Linked DNA regions of Sus scrofa. The protein of the gene in region 3 interacts with the protein of the main gene of each other region in a pairwise test. Links are inferred from orthologs where the notes say so. Each region holds a gene or a part of one and is shown on either strand. Other genes may lie near its edges. The genes, in order: C6H1orf109, NAB2, AES, SMAD3, PARVG, CARD9 and OLIG3.

Region 1 (3,500 bases), on a different chromosome or scaffold from region 3:
AGCCCCTGTCAGAAACCTCTAGCACAATCCTCCCAAGAACCAGTCCTCAGGTTCGAAGGCACTGATATTTCCCATATGTCAGGTTGCAATGCTGCCATTTCAGAGAGCAGCAACATCGGTCTTCTTCCCCCCAGTCTCCCAATAAACACACAGCTTCTTCACTCTTCCAGGAAGAAGGAAACACTCAACAGGATATCTGCAACAGGAAGAGAGAAAAATGTGGCCTATGACCTTTCCAGAAAACACAAAACATCCAATTTGTAAAAGCTACAGAGGCACCATGAGGGCATCTCCACATGCTTCCAAAGAGGTGAGACCCAGAAAGAAAGGAGGGGAGGAGACGTGAAGGACAAAATGAAAATCAGTACCTCGTATAAGGTCTGGGTGTTCAGCTTCTGAAATTCGGTCCCAGGCTTTGGGCAAAGCTTGAATGTTTTCCAGGTCTCCCCACTGGATGGAGGACAGGAGGTGCCTCCTCCTCAGGTAGCTTCCAGGGAGTTAAGGAAGGTGCTCTAGAGGAAAGCGAAATAGGAGGTCCCTGGTGGCACAGTCGGTTAAGAATCCGGCATTGTCACTGCTGTAGTACGGGTTCAACCCCTGGCCCAGGAATGTCCACATGCCATGGGCACACCCCAAAACCAAAAGCTAAAACTAAAACAACAACTGAAAAACCAAAGACAATGAAATACACCGAAGGGAGAAAACAGCCTGGAGAGAGTTCCCAGGAGCTGCGAAGTCAAAGCACAGTAACCGCTACCTTTCCCAGGTGGGCAGGACCCACCTAGGCTACAGCCCTTTCCTGAGCCCCTCCTCACACACATGGCTCTGGGCTACAGGGAAAAGGACGGAAACACTACCCTGCAATCTAGGATCTCACTGCAGTGAGGGGAAAAAACAGAAACTGGAAAGAAAGACTAAACAACAGGGAAGAAAAACTCAGTGGAAGCTCAGAGGATGAACACATCCCCCTTAGAGGACTGGAGGAGGGTTCCAGCTGGTAGGAAAAGCTTAAGCCAAGGCATGGAAGGGGGGAGGCACAGCATGGACTCAGGAACAGTACACGTGCCAGCGCGGCGGGCATGGAGCGAGGTGTGGAGTAGCAGGAAAGGCGGCTGAGAGGACAGGTGGAGCCAGGACACAAAGACCAACAAAAGGGCTTTGCAGAAGCTACTGAAAACTTCTACACGAGCAACAGGATCAGAAAGGAGCTGTCTTATGGATAAGTCTGTGGAATGCGGCCACTATCTGGGGGTGGCTTGGAGGGAAGGAAGACAGAGAAACCTGTCACTACATGTGACTACAGGTCCAAGTGAGAAACTATGGTAGAGGCAGTGGGGATAGAGAAGGAAAATTCAAGAAGCACCAAGGCAACAGAATGCAAGGACTTGAAAGCTGACTCTGCAAACACTCTAACGACAGCACCTGGCACACAATAAGCACTCAGCTACTGTCCCACTGCCCAGGCTGCTGTTGCCACCACTGCTGCTTCTGCTGCCATTAGAAAATGGGGTGGGGAGGGGGGGAGAAAAAAGAAAGTAGGGTGGAAAATGGGGACAAGGCTGCTGAAGTTTCTAGACTAAATGATCAGACAGGGTTGACACTACAACTCAAGGAAAAGGGAGCTGAATGGAAGGCTGGACGGAGGACTTCAACTCTCCATGTGAGCCTGCAGTTCTATGAGATTCCAGCTGGGGGCCTCTGCAGAAACTAAAAACCCAAATTAGAGGTAAACAGAGGCAAGAATAAAGATTGGGTTTGGGAGTGATTTAAATAAAGGTAGAGGAGATCCCATCATGGCTCAGTGGTTAACAAATCCGACTAGGAACCATGAGGTTGCAGGTTCAATTCCTGGCCTTGCTCAGTGGGTTAAGGATCCGGCGTTGCTGTGAGCCGTGGTGTAGGTCACAGACTCGGCTTGGATCCCACATTGCCGTGGCTCTGGCGTAGGCTGGCAGCTGTAGCTCATATTAGACCCCTAGCCTGGGAACCTCCATATGCCGCAGAAGCGGCCCTAGAAATGGCAAAAAGACCAAATAAATAAGTAAATAAAAGTAGAAACTTCAGCCAGAGGGTAGAAGTGAGTTATCAGGCAACAATCAAGAGAAAAAGGCAAGACAACTCCCCAACTAACTGGTCTTCCTGCTTCCACCCAAGTCTCCTTAGAACACAGCCGGTAATACTGCTGAAAACATAGATCTGATCAAGTTACCCCTCTACTCAAAACCTATAGCTTTCCATCTCACTCAGAGCAAAAGCCAAAACCTTCTGAAGACCCTGGCGGCCCTACCAACTCTAGACCTGTCTTTCTGACCACATCTCCTGTTAAACCACCCCCCCTTCACTCGGCTCGAGCCCCACTGACTATTTCCTGAACACACAAGACTTGCTCTCCCGTCAGGGCCTCTGCACGTTGTGTGTCTCCTGCCTGGAACACTCTTTCCCCCAATATCCACCTGGTTCTTTCCCTCCCTTCAGGTCTTTTCTCAAATCCTGCTTCCTCACTGAGGCCTGCCCCGACCATCTTATTTAAAATCACAAGCCCACCTGCTCCCCTCGCTTCCCCCACTCCCTGCTTTGTTTTTCTCCAAGGCATTACCACAATCTGACAGCCTGTTAATATTTTCCTTTTTTAATGCCTACCTCCCAGCCCCTAGAACAATGCCTGGCAGGTATCAGCTACTCAATAAATGACTTGAGGAGTGACTGCACAAATGAGTGTAGGAAGCATCCAAGTTCAGGAACCAAAGAGAACTGAGCCACACTGTATACTGTTGTGTAATCCTGTGAAAACCAAAATTTAAAAGACTTCCTGGAATAGCTCTGGAACAACCTGAAATGTGTGCAAAGGATACAAATTTCGATAGTGTCTCTCGATATCGTGCAACCACTCCAACATTTCAGCCACAGAGGGGCTTGCAGCTGAAGCCTGCAGGACAGCATCCAGGCCGATTGTGTCCGCATGCCGCTCATAGGTCTGAAGCACGTGTTCCACGTGGCTGCTGACCACATCACGCACCTTGAGGAGGGTGGCTCTGGGGAAAGAGTCTGATATTAGGCAACATGATGAGAAAGGCCTAAGGCCTCAGCACTATGGCTGCTCTGGACAGATGATTCTTGGTGGTGGAGGGCTGCACTATAGGATGTTCAGTGGTATCCCTGGCCTCTACCCACTAGTTGACAAGGGCTGATCATGTTCCCACCCTTTCCAAGTAGTGACAATCGATAACGTCTCCAGATAGTGCCAAACTTCCCAATGGGAAAAACTGTCTCCAAATGAGACCCATTTCTCTAAGGAGATGGGTGATGGTTTCTTGGAGGTAGGGGTGGCTCGAGAATTAAGAACTGGAGTTCCCTGGTGGCTCAGTGGATTAAGGACCAGGCATTGTCATTACTGTGGCTCAGGTTACTGCAGTGGCATAGGTTTGATCCCTAGCCTGGAAACTTCCCGAATGCCATGGGTATGGCCAAAAAATAAAAAAAAAAAAAGAAGAAGAAATGAC
Region 2 (3,650 bases), on a different chromosome or scaffold from region 3:
TGGGCCTTGCTTGTCTGATGGTGAAGGGGAGAGAGGAGGTTTGGGCAAGGTGCTGGGTGAGTTAGGATTCTGACTGCGCTGGCGCCCTCTCCACAGCTGACCATCAATGAGGCTGCTGCCCAGTTCTGCATGAGGGACAACACGCTCTTACTGCGGAGGGTGGAGCTCTTCTCCCTGTCCCGCCAGGTGGCCCGAGAGAGTACCTACCTGTCCTCCTTGAAGGGCTCCAGGTGAGACTCCCTTCTCTAGGTCCTTCCTAGATCAGAATCCTTCCAAGGAGCTGGGTCATGTCTTAATCTCTACTTCAGGTGCCTCTTGGACTGCTTCTCCCCCATCTGTGTGTCCTTGACTTTGGCCAAGTCCACTTATCTGAGGTCTGGCCCCTTCTCCCATCCATTGCAGGCCTCCACTGTGCCCCCCCACTGCCCCCCCCCCCCCAACAATGGTGCCTGAGCTGGAGACTTGCTTAGCCAGCATCTTTTCATACTCTGGAAATAATGCGTGTTCTTCCCCCCCCAGATTCTGTGTCTTGTCCACCACTTGTCCTTCCCCAGCCTCACTCTCCTTGTTCCTCTCCATCTTTGAAGGCTTCACCCCGAAGAATTGGGAGGCCCCCCACTGAAGAAACTGAAACAAGAGGTAGGTTTTCCAGGGTGCATATAGGGGGTTAGGGCAGCCTTCCCTGGTCCCCTCCCTTGCCAGGTTTTCATTTCCCCATTTGGGGCCTCTACAGGTTGGTGAGCAAAGTCACTCTGAAATCCAGCAGCCTCCCTCAGGCCCTGAGTCCTATGCACCCCCATACCGCCCCAGCCTGGAGGAAGACAGTGCCAGCCTGTCCGGGGAGAGCCTGGATGGACACTTGCAGGGTGAGTGTGCCTCGGAACACTTCTCTGGCCACTGGGGAGGGGGGAGCGCAGGGGTAGAAAGCTTGGGAGGAGGGCGCCAGGAGGCAACTCCCTGGAACATGGTTGGGAGGCCTGGCGGGATGGGGGCAAATGGGCCTGGGCCTATGGGTCTGGCTTTGCAGTTGAGGGTGGGGGTTCCGTGGACTGTGGTCCCTTACCTGACCCGTGCCCATGCCCACAGCTGTGGGGTCATGCCCAAGGCTGACGCCGCCCCCTGCTGACCTGCCTCTGGCATTGCCAGCCCATGGGCTGTGGAGCCGCCACATCCTGCAGCAGACACTGATGGATGAGGGGCTGCGGCTAGCCCGCCTCGTCTCCCATGACCGCGTGGGCCGCCTCAGCCCCTGTGTGCCTGCGAAGCCGCCTCTCGCAGGTGAGGCAGCCAGCAGTGCTGTCCCCAACCACCCCTGCCACCCAGGCTCTCCCCCAACACACACAGCAATCCTGGTGTCCTGGGGCCAGGTGGGAGGAAGAGGGATGTAGTCACCAGAGAGGGCAATAAGGATGGTGGAGCTCCAGCCAACCAGGCCTTGGGTTGAGGAGAGGGGAGCCCTTGGAGGGCTGTTCCCAATAGGGAGGGTCTGACCCTAATGGGCATCTCTGAAGGGGGAACTGGGGAGCAGGAAAAGGAGGGTCATCAAGAAGAGAAGCTTGGATAGAACTTTTACCAACACAGGAGGGTGGAGCATTCTAGGAGTAGGGGTGAGGTTGCCAGCTTAGAATTGGACGAGCCCAAAGGGGTATGCTTGGTGCGTGGATGGGGGAAGGGGGAGTGAGGGAGTAGGCCAGCAGAGGGCCGGGCAGCGGCTGGGCTGAGAGTGACGCAGCAGACAAAGCCACCAACCCTGGCTTGGTATTTTTAAACTGTGTGTGGGTGGGAAGTGGGGGCGGGGACTGAAAGAGGGGCTCTTCTTGGGGGAGGAGCTGGGAGGTTGGCTTCCTGTGATCCCCTTGATTTGGCTTCTAAGAAACTGGGGGGGGGGGGCGTGCATGGTAGGGTAGGCAGGGCCTGGGAGGAGGCCAGGGATGAGTGGGGGCGGCAGAGCCTGGGAAGGGGGGAGGGGGAGAGGTCACAGCCAACCCGCCCCCGCAGCTCCTGACAGAACCAGAAATTCCAGCAGAACGGAGGCGGGAGAGACCGAGAAAGAGAGAGACACTTACAAAGACCGAGAGCTACACACTGCTAAGAAGGGGAAGGGGTGCACACACTTGGCTATAGAAACCCCCCCCCCCACATACATGCACTCACCCGCGCGCGCGCGAGGTGGGCTGAGGGCTGTAAATCCGAGCTCAACTTTACAGCCTTCTCTACACCTGCCTTTGTTCTCAACCACCTCTGTCTACAGCGTTCACCTCGCAGCCTCCTAACTGACCCCTTCTCCCCGCAGAGTTCGAGGAGGGGCTGGTAGACCGATGCCCTGCGCCGGGACCCCATCCCGCTCTGGTGGAAGGTCGGAGGAGCAGCGTCAAAGTGGAGGCTGAGGCCAGCCGGCAGTGAGGGCGGGACTGCTGTCCTCAGACCGCGGGGCCTGGGCTCCCGGGTCACACAACCCCTCGACTCCGCGTCCCTGGCACCTAGTCACAGCCCTGGATCCTTCCGCTGCCCTTCTCCTGCCTCCCCACCGGCCCCATGGGCATAGAACTATGGGGCTTCAAGCAATAACGAGCAGGGGCCTGGCGAGAGGACACAAGGAGGGTGCGTGGTGCCCCCCTCACCGTTGCCCAGAGCAAGGGGCAAGGACTCTGCCTCCAGGGCACTTGGGGTTCTCCCCTTCCTTACACAGCACACTCCCATTCTCTAGTTTGAACCAGTGGTGTGAGCAGTTGGACTCGGTTTGGACATGGGGGAAAGGGGGACTATCCTGGGAGGGTCCAGCAACTAAAAGTGGAAACATTTCCCCCCCAGAACTGGGGGCCTGGGAACACTGGACCTGATCCTCCCTCCATTCCCCCATTTTTGTGCTTCTAGTTTGTTTCTTTAATTTAACAAGTGCTGCAGTTTGCCTACCCATCCCCATCCTTCTCCCAAGTCCTCAGCGGTTCTCTCCCTCCTGCCCTCTCTAGGGGGGCATGGGGTCCCCTTCACCAGCCCCCTCAGGAGGCTTGGGTGGACTCAGGGTCTCCCTTAGCTGGGGGCTGGGCCGCAGCACCTGTCTGAGCAGTTAGAGCATCTTTCTTTTCAGATCGTGTACAGTAGATTATTTATTTTGTTATTTTGGAATAAAATTTATTTTATGGCTTAGGATCTATGACCCCCAAGATGGAGAAAGGGTGGCATGGGGCAGGGGAGTGGAGGGAAGCTGGCGGTGGCTGGGGAAATAGAAAAGAAGCAGTGGGTAGGGCCCCCGATACACCCAAAGGACCACACACTTGAGTCTGGACCCCAGACTCTCTACCCCCTGCCTCTGGGCAGGACTGGTGGTGATGAGCCACCAAAACTACAGCCATATGCAGATGTCACAGCCACGAAGACCCCTCTGGGCACAGTTCTCAAAGATGAGTGAGTGCATTTGGGTTCGCATACACCAGAGAGGCCAGCATGCTTGCTGGTATCTTTTGTGCAGTGTCTCACACTTTCAAACGTGTGTTGTCACACAGGCAAAATCAGAGAGGTACATGTTCTATGTGGCTGTACAGCTAACGTGTGTGACATCTATATAGTAACATGTCTCAAGTACACATACTTTTGCACAGCTATACACACAAACTCAGCCTTTGTACTTCTGCATAATCTCATGCACATGT
Region 3 (4,168 bases):
TGGCTTCTCTAATTTTCTTTAAAAATGTACAGTTGCTGCCACTGTTAAAAAAAAAAAAAAAAGGCAGTTTCATTCCAAACTGCATTTCTGGCCCTTCCTGAGGGACTGGCAGATACTGTACCAGTCCCCAACACAGTAGGACTCCTCGCTGTATAGCAGGAAGCCCAGGCCCAGCGGATCGTGACTCCAAAGCTCAGAGAGGGGGCCTGGCCTACCTGAGGTCACACAGCATGAGGCAGCAACCTGACCCTCAGTCTCTGGAGTCAGATCGGCCAGCCAGATTGGATCAGAGGAGAGCAAGGGCCAGGTAGGGAGGGTAGGACCCCTGGAGAGGCTCAGAAAGGCCAGGCCTGACAAGCAAAGCTCCTAAACCCTCCACATCACAGGACCAGAACAAAGCTCCCGGGCCTGCCCTTCAACCACCTTGCCTCAGTTTCCTCACTTTGAAATGGGCATATGATCAAAAAGCAGGGAAGATTCAATAAAAGGATGTATGTTCAGTATTTGGCAAATGGGGAGGATAGGAACACCCCCAAAGGAAAAACAGATCTCACTATTCCTATCTCTTCTTGGAGAAAACTCAGGATCCTTCATAGAACACTTTTGTGTGACCAAACTGAGGTCCAGAGAAAGCCCAAGACCCCACTGGTATCTGTGGCCATGGACCCCCTTCTGATTCTCAAGCAAAGACCCCCTCCGGAGCTAAGGCTTGAGACTTTGCAGTCTTCAACCCAGAAACTGAGTGTGAGAATCTCATTTTGCCACTTCCCTGCTGGGCAACCCCAGGAAACCCCTATCACCTCTGGGTTTAAGTTTCCCTAAATGTAAAATGAAGATAATAATAGTTCCTTTTTCTTAGATCTGGCACATGGCAAGCCCTTTAGAAATGTTAGATTAAATTCTGGAGGGAGCATCGCCTTGCTGCTGGGTGCCAGAAACCTTTTCTCCAAAACTAGGCAAAGAGATAACAAGCTATAGACTTTCTTTTGAGGGGTGGGTGGGGCGATGGAAGATCCAGCCCCCAACTCCAGCTCTTGGGAGGTCTTTTATCCAACGCAGTCTGGGGTGGGGGTGGGGGAGGGGAGAGGGGCTTGGAAACCAGACGGCTGAGTCTTTGGGCAAATTATTTAAATTCTTGTGCCTCAGTTTTCTCCTCTATGAAATGGGACTGTCCTAAAGACTAAATGAATTTAATATCCGTAAGTGTTGGAGACCTGGTCTGCCACATGAGACACTCAATACCGATTTTTTCCCCCCATTCTGTGTGTATAGCAGGGACCACAACTTCAGCTCCAGGCCTCAGTCTTGCCTTCTGAGCAGGGGGCTCCACCTTCACCCAGGGCAGGGACCACCAGCCCTCAGCTCACCTGTGGTACTGAGCCTGCAGGAGCTGAAACTCATCTTTGATGCGGTCGCAGGAGTCCGAGGTGGTGAATTTGAGTTGCTGGGGTAGGTGCGACGAGCCCTGTGGGGAGGGGGCGGCCCGGGTCAGGACCAGGAGGGGGCCGCCACCCACCTTCCTCCCTGAGGGCGCCCCCCCTCCACCAGGCTGCGGCCTGCGCAGCTGCAGCGTCCCCCCACACCCTGCCCCACTTCCCTGGCTGTGTTTACAGCCCCTGGCTCGGCCCCCGCCCTCGCTTCCTGCCCCCGCCTCTCCCCGAGAAGCTAAGGAGGGTGGGTGCTCCCGGAGCCGCTCGTCCCCCTCCACCCCCAGGCTGTGGGGGTGCATTTGAAGGGCCGCCCTTGGTGGGGGGTAGGGTGCGCCCTCTACCGCGCCTCCACAGCGCCGGGAGGGGTTGCACGTCTGAGCGTCCCAACTGCCTCAGGGAGGGGGGAGAACGCGTCCTAGTGAATCCCCCTCCCCAAAGCTGGGAGGCGGGGGCAGGCTTCCTGGCAAAGTCCCCTTGGGAGAGGGGGCTCTCAGCGCCCAAAATCTTCCGGGGGTGCGGGGGCCCACCCCAGATTCCTAGCACCCTTCCTCCAGGCCGCGCGCTCTTCCGGGAGGGGTGCGCCTTGACTCTCCCCCACTCCCAGGCCCCAAAAGCAGCCCCAGCGTTAGAGGTGCCTAGTGGGGCTCCCGGGGCGCCCCAGGCCCCAGGCCAAGGCCAGCGAGGCCCAGCCTGGCTTGGGGTGGGGGTGCGCAGGGTCCAGGGTCTGGGGCGTGCTCTGAGCTGGGGGCAAAAGGGGACCTGGGGGGGCTCTGGGCCCGGAAGCTGGGAGGGGGACCCGGAGCTGGCGGCGGTTGCGGGGGGGGAGCAGCTCTGGGCCCAGAGCTGGAGGGGACTGGGCCCAGGAGTTGGGGGGAGGTGCCGAGCTGGAGGCGGGGGGTTGGCCTGGCAGGGACCTGGAAGGGGGTCGCAGGGCTTGGACCTAGAGGGGGCGCTGGGTTCGGATATGGGAGGGTACGGGGCCCCGACCTGGAGGGACGCAGGGCCCGAACCTGGGGGAGGGAATAGCCCCGGCTGGGAACTGGGGATACCGGGCCAGGACGTAGGGGGACGCAGGGCCCGGAGCTGGGGGGGGTGGCTGGGCTGGGAACCGGGGGTGCCGGGCCCGGACGGGGGGGGGGGGGGCCGCCGGGCCGACGGGCCCCGCTTACCGAATGCCTGCTTTGTGGAAACATCATGTCAGTCGCGGCGGGGGGCGCAGGCTGCGCCCCGGCTGTGCGCCCCGACTCGGGCTGCTCGGGGCGCCGGGCGGCCGCGCCTTTGTCCCGGAGCCGATCGGCAGCTCCCGGGGCCGCCGCCGCCGCCTCCCGCGCCCGGCCTCGCCCGCTTCCTGCGCCCCCTCCCCGCGCGCCCGGCCCCGGCGCGCCCCGGGCCCCGCTTCCTGCGCGCCCGGCGCCCCTCCCCGCCCCTCCCCGCCGCCCGCCTCCCCGCACGCCCGGCCGCCGCTCCTATTGTCTAATGGCGGCGACGCCGGCAGTGGCCGCGGCCTCGGCTGCGCGGAGGCTCCGGCTCCACCTGCTGCTGTCGCCGCCGCCGCCGCCGCCGCCGCTGCTGCTTCCCGGGCCCCGTGCGCGCCGCCGAGGGGGGGGCGCGCGCCCGGGGAGGCCCGCGGATCCCCACCCATCCGCCTCCCCCGGGCCGGCCGGCGCGGTGACCTTGGGCCCGCGCGCCCCCGCCCCGCCGCGGCCCCTCCCGGCCGGGTGGCCTCGGCAACCGCCAGGGCCTCGGTTTCCCCATCGGTCAAAGCTTGGGGCCCGGCTGCCCCCATCGAAACCGCCGGCGCTGTCATGGCGCGACCCGGACGCGTGCCAGGGACATGCTCTGTAACCTTGGCTCACTGGCTTTTCTCTGAGCCTCGGTTTCCTCCTCCGTAGAAAGGCGGGGATGATACCGCCGACCTCCTGGGAGCCATACCTTGACTCACATTAATGGAGCGCCTACTGTGTGCCAGGTGGGGGTGGGAGGGGGTACAGAGTCCCTACCCTGGTGGAGAAGACAGAAGACAGAGAGACCAGCCAAAGAGCCAGGTCCCTGGCAGGTCAGATGGTGGTAACAGCTATAGAGAAAAGAAAGCAGGAGGGAGGGCCGGGAAGATGTGATTTTAAACAGAGGGAACTCAGATGGACCTCTTTGGCCGCTAAGCGGATCTGAAGACGAGAGAGGGAGCCAGTAGGCTATGGGGTTGGTCGCTTATTTTAGGAGGCAGAAACAGCCAGTGCAAAGGTACTGAGGCAGCACTGTGCCTAGCACAGGTGGGGGTGGGGTGCTTGAGAGGAAAAGGGAGCAGAGGGGCAGGGCTAGCAGCTTCTGGAATTTGCACAGAGGCCTGGCTTCCAGAAGGGCCTCTGCTTGGGTGGATGATCTGCTGTGTTGGTCTGGAAATTCCTAATAATTTTTGAATGGTCTTGTTTTGCATTGGGGCCTGCAAATTCTGTAGCTGGTGATGAGGCGGGACAGATGGTGCAGGGCCTTGTGGGCTCAGGGAGGATTTGGGCTTGCTCGGAGTGAGATGGGAGCCCTGTGAGATGGTGGGCAGAGGAGAAACAGGGCTGATGGGGACTTTGATAGGATCTCTCTCCCTTTCCTGTGGAGAGCAGGCCTCCAAGAAACCAGAAATAAGGCACATTAAGTTCCAGGAAGTGCTAAATACATAGGCTCTTAATTGTCACCATCATCATCATCCACTATGCACCTTTGCCTCCTGGATGAATTTAAATTCT
Region 4 (3,500 bases), on a different chromosome or scaffold from region 3:
AGTGAGCTAAGGATCTGGTGTTGCCGTGAGCTGTGGTGTAGGTCAGATGCGGCTCACATCTGGCATGGCTGTGGTGACAGGCCAGTGGCTACAGCTCTGATTTGACTCCTAGCCTGGGAACTTCCATATGCCATGGGTGCGCCCCCTCCCAAAAAAATGATCAGGAGGCAGAGGCACAGGTGGAAAGACCCAGACCCAAAGGACAAAAACATTTGTTCTCGTTTTGATAATTTCTGACATATTTTAAATAGAGAAAAGTGTAAAGTGAGTGAGTAAACACCTGTGTATGCCATCTAGGATCTTTTAAAAAGTAAAACAAATGGGGAGGCTGTCTGGGAAGGATGAAGGCTCAGCAGCAGGGACTCTTTGCCACTGACTGTGTCACACTTGCTGTGTGGCCTCTGCCCTTCCCTGCCTGTCCGTCAGGGTCTTCCCTGGAACATGAGCACCCTGGCCCAGGCCTGTGGCTTCCAAACTTGTCTTAACTGTAAAATCCTCTCTCCGAATGAATCATCTCTGAAGGCCCAAGATATAATACAAACAAGAGCAGGGCTGCTCTGGGTCATGTGGCCCACTGCCCTACCTGGCTCCCGAGTTTGCCCTGGAGCCCCTTTGGCCACCCTGGGCACATGGAGCAATGTTTCAGAATACCAACCATCTCCATACCATCCCCATGGCTCTTGTAGGTGACTCTGGATCACAACATTGGGAATACTCTTAGCATGATTTTATGAGCAAATAAAGCAACACAGCAAGGCTTCAATCTTCCCTAAACTAAGTGGGCTTTACCGCACGCTGGGTGCTGGAAGACAGAGTGGCAGCAGCAGTGGTACCCAGCAGTGGGCAATACTTGCCTCTCTACCTCTTCTAAGTTCCTAGGATAATCCTGTGTGAAATGAACAAACCAAAGATCATCTTTCCAGGACTATCTACTTACCCACTTATCAGTACTTTAAGGGTATTTCTTTTTTTTTTTTTTTTTGGTCTTTTTAAGGCTGCACCCTCTGCATCCCAGGCTAGGGGGCTCGAATCAGAGCTGTAACCACTGGCCTATGCCACAGTCACAGCCACGCCAGATCCGAGCTGCGTCTGCAACCTACACCATAGCTCACGGCAACTCCAGATCCTTAATCCACTGAGTGAGGCCAGGGATTGAACCTGAGTCCTCAAGGATCCTAGTCGGGTTTGTTAACCACTGAACCACAACGGGTACTCCCCCTTAAGGGTATTTTTATTAAGGAGAATTACACAGTTGCCTTTTTCCAGAAAGTCCAGCATCTTCCCTTGTGGCTTTCAAAGTTTCAAAGATGATATCTGTCTCTGGGTGAGAATGATCAAGCAACCTGAACTCTACCTGTCTGGCCCCTGAATAAGGTGACAGAGAGCTTTTGGGGGAGGGGTGGAGGTGGGGGAGGCCCAGCACAGTGGTGGCGGATTCTGGAGGGGTCTGTGCTGGGCTGGGGATCTGGGGTGTCGTGGGGGAAACTCGACCGCCCCTCACCGATGTGCCTCCGTGTCAGCTCCACAGCCGCATTCCTGTTGACATTGGAGAGCAGCCCCAGGCAGAAGCGCTCCGAGTTGGAGGGGTCGGTGAAGCCGTCCACGGTCATGGACGGTTGCGAGGCGTGGAATGTCTCCCCGACGCGCTGGTTGAGCTCGTAGTAGGAGATGGAGCACCAGAAGGCCGGCTCGCAGTAGGTGACGGGCTGCAGGTCTGAGGAGACAGGCCAGCCCCTGGGTCAGTGGCGCCCCAGGCCCCGTGCCCCTGGACGGGGTCTGCCGGCTGCTCTGGAAGACTGTTCCCCACCTCTCAGAGGGCATTATAATCTCCCCACCCTCGTACCTTTTACTGGATAAAACCTGCAGGAGCAGCCAGCGGGACAAAATACTCAGGTGGCAGGAGAAGCACTTTTCATTTAGCTTTAGCTTCCAAAGGCCCTGCCCCGCCTGGCCTGGCCTCAGGTTGAAGCCGTCTTCAGGGAGGTGCTAGGCCAAGCCCCTGGACAGACACACTGGACAGGCTGGGTGTGCCTATCGCGGGCAGGCCACGCCACCTGCCTCTCTTCCTAGGTCCCCGAGGTAACCCATGCTGATCTCCGCCCCTCCAAAGCTAACTCCTGTCGAGCAGCAGCATCCAAGCCTGTGAAACGATAAGGCTGCTGCAGCCCTGGGGTCTGCGCTGCGCTTGGTGTCCAAGACCACACAGGCGCCAGGCACCATCTGCAGAGTAAACCCGGTTCCTGCCTCTTGTTATAGAAACTATCCTCCAAGTGTATCCAGATGTTGAGCAACCAGGAGGCTAACACACAAACTCACCTAAAAGAAACTCTGAACTTCTAGAGGTCATCCTGTGGTCTCAGTCAAGGGCACCTCAGAGTAACTGCCGTCCTGGGAGGGGGCAGTTCTGTTTCTCAGAAGAGGTGGGAACTCCTGAAGTAGAGGTTTCCCCTCACACGAAGCCACACCTCCCTTTCCAGGGACGCCCTAGCCTTCCTGTCACCTCCAGTTGTTCTGGGCTCCACACCTGCCCAGGTACCCCTGCCTGTCTCTGTGTCACTTCTCACCTCAGGGTCCCTCCTCGTCATTCTTCACTTGCACTAGTGCCACGGCCCTCTGACAGGGCTCCCCAGCACCCAGCCCAGCCCTTCCAGCTTCTTCTCTGCCCTGTCCTGCTCCCGGGGCCACGTCCTTCCCCTGTGCCTCCTCGAATCCCCCTATTTGTTGGTGAATCAGAGTCTGCTGCTCTCATTCTGGTCTTAGCCCTCTGGCCTGCACCACGTACTCTGGCTCTTACATATACATAGAGAGTTGCGTATATGGTTACTCAGGCGTGTCTCTGGAAGCTGGTGAGAGGATGGGAGAGCTCGCCATGCCAAGTCAGCACTGGCCCGAGACCCGTGTCACCGCCGGCCAGGCAACTTCCTAGAGCGAGAACCCATGAGAACTTAAGCTCAGCTCACCAGACCTCACAAAGTGTATAAAAGCCCAGGAAAGAATAAAGCAGAAGCTATTCCAGGAGGGGCCTGGGTTCCCCTGCAGGGCAAAATGGCCCTGATCTCCTTCTGGGGTCTACGCCCATGATCCCATCTAAGAGCAAAGAGAAGGCTGGCTCACAGGGGAAGGGCTGCGGACCGGTGACACCCCTGCACTCAACATGCTGTGAAGAGTTGGCTGGAGGGTGAGGGCACTTGGATCAGGTCTCGGCCTTGGCAAATTTGGGGCACGATAATTCTTTCCTTGGGTGGGGGGATCCTGCGTGCTCTGGGATGTGCAACAGCAGCATCCTAAGCCTCTGCCTACTTGATGCCAGCAACATACATCCATCTCACCCTCCCAGCTGTGACTGTAAGAAACTTCTCCAGACACTGAGAGACGTCTTCTGGGGGCAAAATAGGCCGCAGTTGAAAATCACTGTCCTGGGTGTTTGACCAGCTCAGGGAGCACAAGCTTCAAGGCTGGACAGACTTGTGTTCACATTCGGCTTTGGCACGGACCTGCTG
Region 5 (3,500 bases), on a different chromosome or scaffold from region 3:
AGAGGGGGCTGACCTCGTGCCCTCTCCCCTCCCAGGCATCTTCAACAAGGACCTTCTGGCCACGCTGCATCTCCTCGTGGCCCTGGCCAAGCGCTTCCAGCCCAGCCTGCCCCTGCCAGCCAACGTCCAGGTGGAAGTGATCACCATGGAGGTAGGAGCCGGGCACCAGAGGCGTCTGCCCGCAGGCCCAGCATCTCGGGGCTGCATCCCCGCGCCCTGGATCGGGGTGCTGCACGGGGCGGGCTGAGATGGAGTGGGTGCCAGGGAGCCCTGAGAAATGTCGAATCCCACCAGGACGGCAGGGAGAGGCCGGGGTGGAGATGTGGGCGAGGGATGCCAAGCGTCCACGAGGAGGTCTGTGGGCCGGCCAGCCCCCCTTACTCAGCAGATGGCACCTGCCTGGGTGTTATGAAGGTCCTGGCTGACGGCCGCCCTGCCACTTGGGCCATAAGTGACCACCTGTTCACGCCTTTCTGAACCCTTCATACCCCTGGGCCACTGCCCTTGTGACTGTGATGGTCTAAGCCCCGGACTCAGGGCTGTGACAGTGGTTCCAGGGGCCTTCTGGGGCTTTCTCTGCCCACGAGGTTCTCTCCCTGCAGCACGTGTGGGACTCCAGCAGGAGCTAATGACACAGGAGTCCCCGTGTCCTCTCTCAGACCCCGAGCACCACAAACAGAGCCCACCTGCACCCGATCCCCGGTCTCCCCTCCCCCAGCCCCTGGGTACCCGGGAGCAGCCTGTCTTCCCTTTGACCTGCTGGACAGAACGCACCAAGTGCAGCCAATTCAGGACAATTCATTCTCACTTTTCAAAACCATTGATATGAATTTTCTGCTAAGCAGGGTCTAGGCTTCGCTTACAAGTAGGCAAAGCGGAGGTGACTTCATCCCTCCATGTAGTCACGCATTCATTCATTCACCCGCTCACTCATTCATTCACGTGCTCACTCACTCATTCATTCACCCGCTCACTCACTCATTCATTCACCCGCTCACTCATTCATTCACCCGCTCACTCATTCATTCACCTGCTCACTCATTCATTCACCTGCTCACTCATTCATCCATCCACCCACTCATTCATTCACCTGCTCACTCATTCATTCCTCCATCCACTCATTCATTCCTCCACCCACTCATTCATTCCTCCACCCTCTCATTCATTCGTCCATCCGCTCATTCATTCATTCATCCACCCACTCACTCATTCACGCACTCATTCATTCGTTCATTCATGTACTCATTCATTTTTTCAATGACCCACTCACTCATTCCTTATTATTCAGACAGCGCGTGTCTACTGATGCCCTTTGAGCCAGGCACTGGGTGGACAGTGGGGATACCTGGGGAACGAGGCAGACATGGTCCCCACCCTTGTGGGGCTCGTGGCCCAGGGGCAGGACGGTTACACTGGCCACTGTGAAAAGGACTGCCCGGAGGCCGCCTTGAGGAGGGGCTGAGACAGAGCAAACTGGGTCCCTTGAGACTGTCTTGGCCACTCGTGTCTTCTCTACTGGCAGGCATGGGTCCTAGAATTTTCTAGTATTATTCCATTCTTCCCTCTCCTTGTTCCCTAGAGCACCAAGAGTGGCCTGAAGTCGGAGAAGTCAGTGGAACAGCTCACTGAGTGCAGGTGAGAGAAGGGCCAGGGCAGTGGCAGAGGCCAGGCCACCTGGGGACTGGGGTACGGCCTGGGGCCAGGGACAGATCTGCCTGACCTTCTTGCAAGGGGCCTCCACACTCTGCCAGCCCCTCTAAGCACACGTGGCCCAAAGGGACCCTCCAGCTCGCTGGCCCTCACACAGCTTGCCCGCCTCTGCCAGCTCGTTTCGCCTTCTGCACAGCCCAGCAAAGCAGGTAGAGACGGGGTCAGAAGGGGCCCTGGTCCGCAGTCCTGAGGTCATATCACAGGCACTGGGGGCCAGGAGAGACCCAGAACTGGGGTCTCCAGACCCTGACACCACGCTGGTTCCCTAACATCCGGTGCGCAGTTGCTACTGGGCGTCCTCACCTGATCCACGGCAGCGAGAGGCCGCACGGGCCTGAACCCTACACCCCGACCGCAGAACCCCGCAGCCTCCCAGTGTCGGGAGGCAGGGGCAGAGGTGCTCACTCATACCGCCCGTGCTTAGCAAGCACCTACTGTGTACAGGTGAGGCTGTATCCTTGAGTGCCCAGCTTCGCCAGCTGTTGGCCTGAGCTCCGGACCGTCTGGGCAAGCAGGACCCCGGAAGTGGCTCCGTCAATGTGCTCCCCACCCTGCCTCCCAGAGGGAAAGGCCCCCGGGGCAGTCCTGGCAGCAGTGCCGCCCACACCCGGCTGCTTTGCAACATGAAAACTGCAGAGCCCTGGGGTCCAGGGAGAAGCAGGGGCTCCCACTAGGCTGGGTGGGTCTTTAGGAGGGCCTCAGTGGAGTGGGGCCCGCCTAGCCTGAGGCCAAAACTTGGTACCACCTCGGGGGTGAAGGAAGCCATACATGAGCCAGGGACCTGCCAGATCCCAACACCCAGCTCTATCCTTCTCCAGGCAGACGTGGCCATTTTCCACTCCTGGACTCCCCTTTGGTGACTTCAGTTGGCCTCTTGCCACCTGTGGGCTCACACTTCTGGGCCCCCCTCCCCTAACCCCTCCTCCCCCTGTTCCCCAAGTGGAGGCCTGGCCCTGCGGCAAGCCCTGGGTTTGGGATGCAGGCTCTGCCCCATGAATGGTAGCCTCTTGGTACCGGCAGACTGTTTCTCGTCCTTGCAAAGTTGCAAGGGCCACAGAGGGGCCCCGGCTCTGCCTGCCAGGCAGGAGGTCCCCCGATCCCGCCACTGGCTGCTGCCTCGCTTCCCCACTGGGCGGCCCACCCCTGTCTCCTCCAAAGGTCTTTCTGGGTTGGTCTGAGAGGGAGCTCCTTGCAGGAATGTTGAGGATTCCCCTTTCTTGTCTAACATGACTGAAGACCTACTGTGCACAGGGTACGGGGCTGATTTAGCTCCTTTGACTCTTTTTATCCTCACCAAGGCCAGTTCGGTTCACCTCCGCTTGCAGGCTGGGCAGCCAGCCCTTCCTGGGCTGGAATCCGGGATCTGCCGTGTGTGAGCTGTGTGCCCTTGGGGAAGTCACTGCCCCTCTCTGAGCTTCTTTACTCTCTGTTGGGGCTGTTGTGCCGGTTAGAGATGAGCATAGGATGCCTGTTCCCCCTCCTGTATCCCCCCAGCCCTGAGGACCCTGCGGCATCCACTGGGAATGGGATGGTGGGAAGGGCTCAACCCACCGCAGGTTGATGACACGCAATGGCTGAGGCCCCACCAGGTGAGCCCAGCGTGGCCAAGGGCAGGAGGAAGCAGACCCCTGCTGGTTTCTCCTGCCAGCGGGTCCTGTGCACTCGCTGGCCCGTTTCCCCTTCTCAGGGACACGCCGGGAAGAAGCCTTGTTCCCTTCCCACTCGGTGAAGCTTAAGTGACCTCCCAGCCACCCAGCCGCTGAGCGACTCTGCACCGGCCCCGCTGAGCT
Region 6 (3,998 bases), on a different chromosome or scaffold from region 3:
CCTCGGCCTTCATGAGGCTGTGCTTGAGCCGATCGATCTGCGGGGCCGCCCGTCAGCCCAGCCCGGGGGCCCGCCGCCCGCCCGCCGCCCGCCCGGCCGCCCCGCCGCCAGGCACCTCCAGCTGCAGGTCTCGGTTGCGCATGAGCGCGGTGCCCCTCTCCTCGCTCTGACGGGCCAGGCGCAGGGCCAGGTCGTAGTTCTCGTCCTTGCAGCGCTGGAGCTCGCGGCCGCCGGCCTCGCAGGCCTCCTTGAGCCTCTGCGCGCGCTCCTGGTGCTTGCGCAGCAGGCCGTCCTTCACGCGCAGCTCCTTGATGAGGTCGTCCTTGGAGCCCAGCAGCGCCGTCAGGTCCTGCGCCTTCTTCTGCAGCTTCATCACCTCGCTCATCAGCAGCTGCGTCAGGCCGGACTCCCCAGACGCGTCTGCGGACCGGGCCTCATCAGACGGCGCGCCCAGCAGCCCAGCATCTCGCGCGGCTCCAGGACCGGCGGCCCGGGGAGCCCGGCCCAGGGGTCTGGTCCTGACTCACCTGCAGGCCCCGTCCCCAGCCCCTCCCAGGACGGTGCAGCCAGGGGCTCACGTGTCCCTCCCTCTTTGTCCACTTTGGTCATCTTGATTGAGAGGCGAGGGGACACGACTCAGGACCAGGAGAGCGGCACCTCTCCGGCTGCCGCGGCCTCTCGGGAGCAGGGTTTTAGTGGGGTCAGGTGGTCTTCTGGGCAGGGGGGCTCTGAGCCAAGAATCAGCCTGTGCCTCCCCTCCCCCTGCTCCCGCCCTGGAGTTCAGGTCCCCCTTCCCTCCGGCCCCTGCCCCCTCCCCGGGCTGCAGCAGGAGAGCGGGCGGGCGGGCCCCAGGCGGGCGGTATCCTTCCGCCAGAGCGCATGCACGCTTTATCCGTTAGGGGCCCAGGTCAGGGGGGCGCCCCGGCCCCTGAGTCCGGGCCCTGGGTCCCCAGGCCCGGTGCCCTTCCTCACCAATGATGACGGAGAAGACGCGGGTGGGCTCCTTGCCCGTGACCTTCTTGTAGAGCTGCGGGTAGTAGAGCTCCAGGCTCTCGAGGAAGGCCACGTAGCCCTTGTGGCCGGTGCGTTGCAGGATGTCCAGGAGCACGCCTGCAACCCAGATGGGCCTGGCTGGGGGCCGGGGCGGCCGGCGTCCCCAGGCACGCGTGTGGCCCCTCGAGGCCCCGCGGGGTGGCCGCAGAGTGGGTCTGGGCCAGTCCCCATCGGCCACCCACCTCGTGTGGCTCTCCCAGGGGCCTCTGCTGTGCATGGCGGCGCCCCGGCCGCAGGCAGACAGGTTGGTGATGGGGGGGGCGGGGCGGGGGCCGAGCCGGCCAGGCCTCCCGGGGACAGGGACGAGCGTGGGCAGAGCCCGCCGCCCACGGCACTGACCCACTTTCCGCTTGCGGATGACCAGGCTGGGGTCACTGAGCACCTGCTCCTCGTCGTCGGGGCTCAGGACCTTGCACTGGCGCAGGTAGGGCGTGATGCGGGCGGGGTCGATGACGGAGATGAGCTTCACGCGGAAGCCCTCCAGGCCGCTCCAGCACTCGTCCTCGTTCTCGTAGTCGGACATGGTGCGGGCGGGCGCACTGCTCCGAGAGAGGGCCCGTCAACTGGCCCGCCGCCCTGCCCTGCCCTGCCCCCGCCCTCTGGCCGCTCTGGGCTTCCTCTCCCCCGCCCCCGTCACCCTGGGCCCCTGCCCCACGCTACCCCCCCAGCCTGTGCCCAGGGAGAATCCCCCTCCCCGAGCATTGTGGGCGGGCAGGGAGGCTGCCTCCCTCCCTGGAGGTGAGGGGGCAGCAGGAGCTGTTTGGGCCGAGCGCTGGCACAACCTCCCCGGCAGATGAGGGAGGGGTCCCGGTCCACCCCCGGCCAGCCCGCGCCCGGCTGGGGCGCCCCCCACCTGCGGGCGGCAGGCCATGCCACGCGGGACTTCCTCATTCCCCCGCACATCCACTCCCATCCCTTCCTCTGCTTCCTGTGGCTGGTGATGCAACAGTTGCCCAGCTGGCCCGCTCCGGTCAGGCCCAGGGACGTGGTGCCCTCCAGGAAGCGTGACTGAGAGCAGCCCACCGGAGGGCCCTGGGCACATGGGGAGGGCCCAGCTGTGTCGCCCAGGCAGCCCAGGACGCGGCTGCGCGCCTCCTCCAGGCTCTGGGTGCTGGGCACTAGCTGGCCCCGGGCTCTCCCCATCTCCTCGGCCACAGTGCTGAGCACGGGGATGCTGGCTCCCTGACAGGGGACCATCTACGTGGAAGCTGCTCTCTGCTAGCCCTTCCAGCAGCGGGTGGGCAGGGACCACGCTCTGGGGCGGGCTGAGCAGGAGCAGCCATGTGGCCATGCCTCCTCCTGGGGGAGAGGGGTCGGGGGGCACAGAGACCCCGCCTCAACACCTGGGACTGAGCCTGTAACCTGCCTGGGAAACACCGGCTCCCGGGCCACGGGGGCTGGGGCACGGTCCCAGAGGCCGTGGTATCCCAGAGGCCGTGGCTGTGGGTCCCACCGCCCTCGGCCCGCCCGCCTAGCGACAGGCGCGGCGTCCAGAGGAATCACCAGCACCTTGGTGGCCGGTCTCTGGACCTGGCCTGTTGCGGCCTTTCTAGCCTCAAGTCCACAGCACCCACGCCTGACGATGACCTGCTGTGCATTCCACCGAAGCGACCGTGCCAGGTGGCTGCGAGGGGGACGGGGCAGCAGAGGTGAGGCCGTTTGGTGCCCTTCTGGGGTGTTCACGCCAGATCCCTCTCCCTGTCCCAAGAGTCCTGAGCCACCTGGGCTTGCCGCCGCCTTTCCGAAAGGGCACCAGACCAGCCTACCTTGGGGTCCTCCTGAGGCACCTGTGCAGTGGCCGGTCGCCGGCCAGCCTGGGCCGCCAAGCCGGTGTGTGAGCGGTGGGAGCTGCCGCGGCTGCCGGCCAGGGAGGGTGGGGCGGGAGGGAGCGCACTTCCTGGCGTTAACCCCGCAGGGACCATCCCTGCGGCCGCTGCTGATTCGCCCGAGCAGGGCGGCCTGGGGGGCGGGGGAGGGAAGTGGAAGTGGCTCCCCAGGAAGGCTGCCCAGAGCCCTGCCAGCCAGCGCAGGGCTGGCCGCGGGGCCCAGGGCCCGCCCTGGAGGCCCAGCCCTGACCCTGAGGAGTGGGGAGTGCGAGCCAAGGCTTGACAGAGCTCGAGCCCCTGCTGGCCCACTTTGGTCCCAGGAGGGGGCGGTGTGGTGTCCCAAAACAGGGCCCCGGGCACAGGCGCCCCGCAGCACACTGGCCTGCTGTGGCTGGCACGGCCCCGCCCCTCCTGGGACCACCCCTTCTCCACCAGGACACATGACAGTGACAGCAGCCCCCCACCCCAGCACTTCAGAAGGGCTGCAGAAGGCCGGGCAAAGCCTGGAGCCCAGCCCTGGCTGCCAGCTGCACCCTGGCCAGGTTGGGGAATCCCCAGGCCACCGCGCTGCCCGGGGAGCTTTGCCAGTTGAACCGAGCTGCCAGCTTCAGCTCCGCGAAGGGGCTGCGGCTGGACGGGCTGGATGGGAGCCTGGCCGGTGCTCCCGGCTCCCCCTTCCTGAGGAGCTTCCCTCCCGCCTGGCCAGCTCCCTTCCTGTGGGGTCTCACGCCTCAGGCCGTGTGGGGGCTTCTCTGCCTTCTGCCCAGGATGGTCAGCGGGCCACTTCGCAGAAACCTTGGGCGTCCCGGCACAGACCTGGCACTGCTGGGTTGCGTGGTGGCCTGGCCTTCCGGGGAGCTGACATCACCCTCTGGGCATGGGGAGCCCCCTGCGGGAGCCGCGAAAGCCAGGTGGGGACTTGGTGCAGGAGACTGAGCCACCGCCTCCTACATGCCCAGCAGGCAGGCTGGTACCGGGCCCTCAACGACCCAGTTCCCGTGGCTTAGAGCTCAGGCAGACGTCGTGTGCTCTGGGCGAGGCAGCAGCCACAGAGACGTCGGGACCCTCACTCAGCATTTGGAAATTGAACAAGAAAACTTAGCCCACAGGTCAGAGGAG
Region 7 (2,450 bases), on a different chromosome or scaffold from region 3:
TCTCTCCATATTGTCTCTCGAAAAACAACTGTGGAAAGGATAGACCATCATAACTGCATCCATCTCAAGGAAATATTTACATTTGTTTCCCACCAAAGGGATGGCTGTCTTTTCCAAAAGCCAGAGAAAGCCAACTCTAAAGTTCCTTTGCAAGTGTTTACACCGATCCCATCTTTATACAACAAATGCAGTTTTGACAAGAGCATATGGCAGTGAGAAATATTGGCGCGGCATGGAGAAAGGAAGCATGCATGCAAGACACACGACATCTGGTTCGAGTCCCCCTTCGCTACCACCTAGAAATTGCAGTTTGATTTTAGTCCTTTCCCTCCGGGGGTCAAGTGGGATCTGAGAGCTCTCAGACTGTGTGGGAGGCCTCGGGGCCCTGCGCCCGCCCTCCCTCCGGCCGAGCTCTCAGCCACCCTCTTCCCTCCCGGCCTGGCACCTCGACCCCTCCCTCCGCTCGCCCCTCATCCTCCGCAGCCGGCCCGGCCCGCTGCTCACTTGAGCAAGTCCTTGGACTCGGCCGACAGCCGGGCCATGTTGGCGGTGGAGAGAGCGGACAGGTGCGGCGGCGGCGGCATCTGGCAGATGGTGCAGGGGCAGGGCAGCCCGGCCCAGTGCTGGAAGCCGCTGCCCAGCTGCAGCGCGGGTGGCGTGGAGGGTGCCTTGAGGAGCGAGTGGGGAGGCCGGATGGTGCCGATGGCGGGCAGCGAGGCGGCGGACAGCGGTGACGACGCGTTGCCGGACGAGAGCGCGCCGCCCAGGATGGGGTGCACCGGGTGCACGGCGTTGGCGGCGTGCGCCGGATGGCCGGCCGAGTGGCCCACGGTCCCGCAGTGGAAGGCCGAGTGGTGGCCCCCATAGATCTCACCAACCAACCTCTTCATCTCCTCCAGGGAGCTGGTGAGCATGAGGATGTAGTTTCTGGCCAGCAGGAGAGTGGCGATCTTGGAGAGCTTGCGTACCGAGGGCCCGTGCGCATATGGCATGACCTCGCGCAGCCCGTCCATGGCGAGGTTCAGGTCATGCATCCGCTTGCGCTCGCGTCCGTTGATCTTCAACCGCAACTGCTGTAGATCCTGCTCCGACAGCTGCTTCTTGATTTTGTACTTGCTGCTCTCGCCCGCGGCCTTGGCGCCGGCCCGCGAGAGGCTTTCCCCGGGCATCTTCTGCACCATATCGCCCTGCGTGGATGAGACCGAGTTGAGGCGGCTCTCCTGGTGGTGGTGATGGCGGTGGTGGTGGTCCCTCAGATACATCTCGTCCATGTCCGGAGATGAAGCTCTGCTGGAGACAGAGCTCGAATCAGAATTCATTTTATTAGAGGGGACGCGGCCCTACCGTGGGGAGGCTTTAGGCGGGAAATTAAAGAAAATCTTGAATTACAAAAATAAAATTAAAAAAAAGAGCTGCGCAGCCCAGCAACCCACTTCTCAGCGGCAAGACCTGAGAAGAAAAGCTGAGGCACTGCCTTTCCCCGCCTTTCTCCCTCCCCACTCCCCTCTCTCTCTGGTTTGGTGGTTTCCTGGACAGCTAGTTGGTGTGTGCTTGAACTAACCTCACGCTGAAAAAGAGGGGCTTTTATAGAGCTGCAGCGGAGAAAAGAGACAAAAGGAACCCTCCTATCTATCCTAGGCTGGTTAGGATGACGTGCCATCATTCAGGGCGGTGCGCTTTGCTGTCCCATTTAGCAAGGATTCCTATTCATATTCATTGTGGGGCCGCCCAGGGACACCTCTGCTCCGAACCGCTAGGAGCCCCCAGGCACAAAACCCTCTGATTGACACACTCACCGCTCCAGCTCACGCCTTCTGGATTTTTTTTTTTTTAAACTTTCCTTTACCCCCTCCCTAATCTCCCTAATCAAATCACACCTAAAGGAACCGAGGGAAGGGAAGGGAAGGAGGCCAGGCTGTCGGCGGAGATTCCTCTGGGGCTGGAGAGAGGAATGGAAACATTCTCTCTCCTCCCTTCCACAGCCACTCCTAAGTTTTGGAAAATGTGGGCAAAAAGTCTCAATGATTCCATGGTTTCAAGGACAGAGACGCAGATGGAGGGCAGGTTCAAGGGGAGGGGGTCGGGATGGGAGGTGCAGGAGCATGCCTGCCCGTTGCACTGCCCGAAGTTTTTTCTTACTAGGTTTTTTTTCCCCTCAACGCTGGCATTGTGTTCATTTTGTTTACTGGGCCTCCAGTGTGATTTTAACGGGATGTCCATATCTGGTGATGGATATGCCCCTGACACTGTCCTGGGGATGGGTGTCTTGGTTTTTATATGTTCTCTTTCGTTTTGAAAAAATCGTTTCCTGAACGAATTTCAATTTTGCTTAAACCTGGAACTGAGGAAACAACCCAACGCTGGTGTTACAATAAGAGCCACTTGAGAAGGAGAGGAGAGGAAAAGTAGCCGAGGGAGTTAAGGATTGGAAAGGGTCCCAGGACTCCAGA

What was found.
Region 1: the proteins of AES (region 3) and C6H1orf109 interact in binary tests that used the Homo sapiens proteins (3 or more experiments, as listed by UniProt). The two-hybrid records come from large-scale screens. The link is inferred for Sus scrofa from reciprocal best matches to the Homo sapiens genes TLE5 and AIRIM.
Region 2: the proteins of AES (region 3) and NAB2 interact in binary tests that used the Homo sapiens proteins (3 or more experiments, as listed by UniProt). The two-hybrid records come from large-scale screens. The link is inferred for Sus scrofa from reciprocal best matches to the Homo sapiens genes TLE5 and NAB2.
Region 4: the proteins of AES (region 3) and SMAD3 interact in binary tests that used the Homo sapiens proteins (3 or more experiments, as listed by UniProt). The two-hybrid records come from large-scale screens. The link is inferred for Sus scrofa from reciprocal best matches to the Homo sapiens genes TLE5 and SMAD3.
Region 5: the proteins of AES (region 3) and PARVG interact in binary tests that used the Homo sapiens proteins (3 or more experiments, as listed by UniProt). The two-hybrid records come from large-scale screens. The link is inferred for Sus scrofa from reciprocal best matches to the Homo sapiens genes TLE5 and PARVG.
Region 6: the proteins of AES (region 3) and CARD9 interact in binary tests that used the Homo sapiens proteins (3 or more experiments, as listed by UniProt). The two-hybrid records come from large-scale screens. The link is inferred for Sus scrofa from reciprocal best matches to the Homo sapiens genes TLE5 and CARD9.
Region 7: the proteins of AES (region 3) and OLIG3 interact in binary tests that used the Homo sapiens proteins (3 or more experiments, as listed by UniProt). The two-hybrid records come from large-scale screens. The link is inferred for Sus scrofa from reciprocal best matches to the Homo sapiens genes TLE5 and OLIG3.

Annotation. Positions count from the first base shown.
Region 1 is NC_010448.4:93,744,097-93,747,596, forward strand, and holds part of C6H1orf109 (uncharacterized protein C1orf109 homolog), read right to left. Parts: intron 3,033-3,500; coding exon 2,853-3,032; intron 488-2,852; coding exon 369-487; intron 197-368; coding exon 159-196; 3' UTR 1-158. UniProt on the Homo sapiens protein: Part of the 55LCC heterohexameric ATPase complex which is chromatin-associated and promotes replisome proteostasis to maintain replication fork progression and genome stability.
Region 2 is NC_010447.5:22,403,275-22,406,924, forward strand, and holds the end of NAB2 (NGFI-A-binding protein 2), read left to right. Parts: intron 1-96; coding exon 97-230; intron 231-587; coding exon 588-639; intron 640-733; coding exon 734-866; intron 867-1,086; coding exon 1,087-1,278; intron 1,279-2,293; coding exon 2,294-2,403; 3' UTR 2,404-3,150; downstream 3,151-3,650. UniProt on the Homo sapiens protein: Acts as a transcriptional repressor for zinc finger transcription factors EGR1 and EGR2. Isoform 2 lacks repression ability.
Region 3 is NC_010444.4:75,490,840-75,495,007, reverse strand, and holds the start of AES (amino-terminal enhancer of split), read right to left. Parts: upstream 2,801-4,168; 5' UTR 2,627-2,800; coding exon 2,600-2,626; intron 1,466-2,599; coding exon 1,368-1,465; intron 1-1,367. UniProt on the Homo sapiens protein: Transcriptional corepressor. Acts as a dominant repressor towards other family members. Inhibits NF-kappa-B-regulated gene expression. May be required for the initiation and maintenance of the differentiated state.
Region 4 is NC_010443.5:165,109,957-165,113,456, reverse strand, and holds part of SMAD3 (mothers against decapentaplegic homolog 3), read right to left. Parts: intron 1,715-3,500; coding exon 1,502-1,714; intron 1-1,501. UniProt on the Homo sapiens protein: Receptor-regulated SMAD (R-SMAD) that is an intracellular signal transducer and transcriptional modulator activated by TGF-beta (transforming growth factor) and activin type 1 receptor kinases.
Region 5 is NC_010447.5:4,888,467-4,891,966, reverse strand, and holds part of PARVG (gamma-parvin), read left to right. Parts: intron 1-35; coding exon 36-151; intron 152-1,579; coding exon 1,580-1,635; intron 1,636-3,500. UniProt on the Homo sapiens protein: Plays a role with ILK in promoting the cell adhesion and spreading of leukocytes.
Region 6 is NW_018084833.1:1,342,235-1,346,232, reverse strand, and holds the start of CARD9 (caspase recruitment domain-containing protein 9), read right to left. Parts: upstream 2,801-3,998; 5' UTR 2,251-2,800; coding exon 1,907-2,250; intron 1,593-1,906; coding exon 1,393-1,592; intron 1,111-1,392; coding exon 973-1,110; intron 421-972; coding exon 116-420; intron 38-115; coding exon 1-37. UniProt on the Homo sapiens protein: Adapter protein that plays a key role in innate immune response against fungi by forming signaling complexes downstream of C-type lectin receptors.
Region 7 is NC_010443.5:26,799,540-26,801,989, reverse strand, and holds OLIG3 (oligodendrocyte transcription factor 3), read right to left. Parts: upstream 1,320-2,450; coding exon 501-1,319; downstream 1-500. UniProt on the Homo sapiens protein: May determine the distinct specification program of class A neurons in the dorsal part of the spinal cord and suppress specification of class B neurons.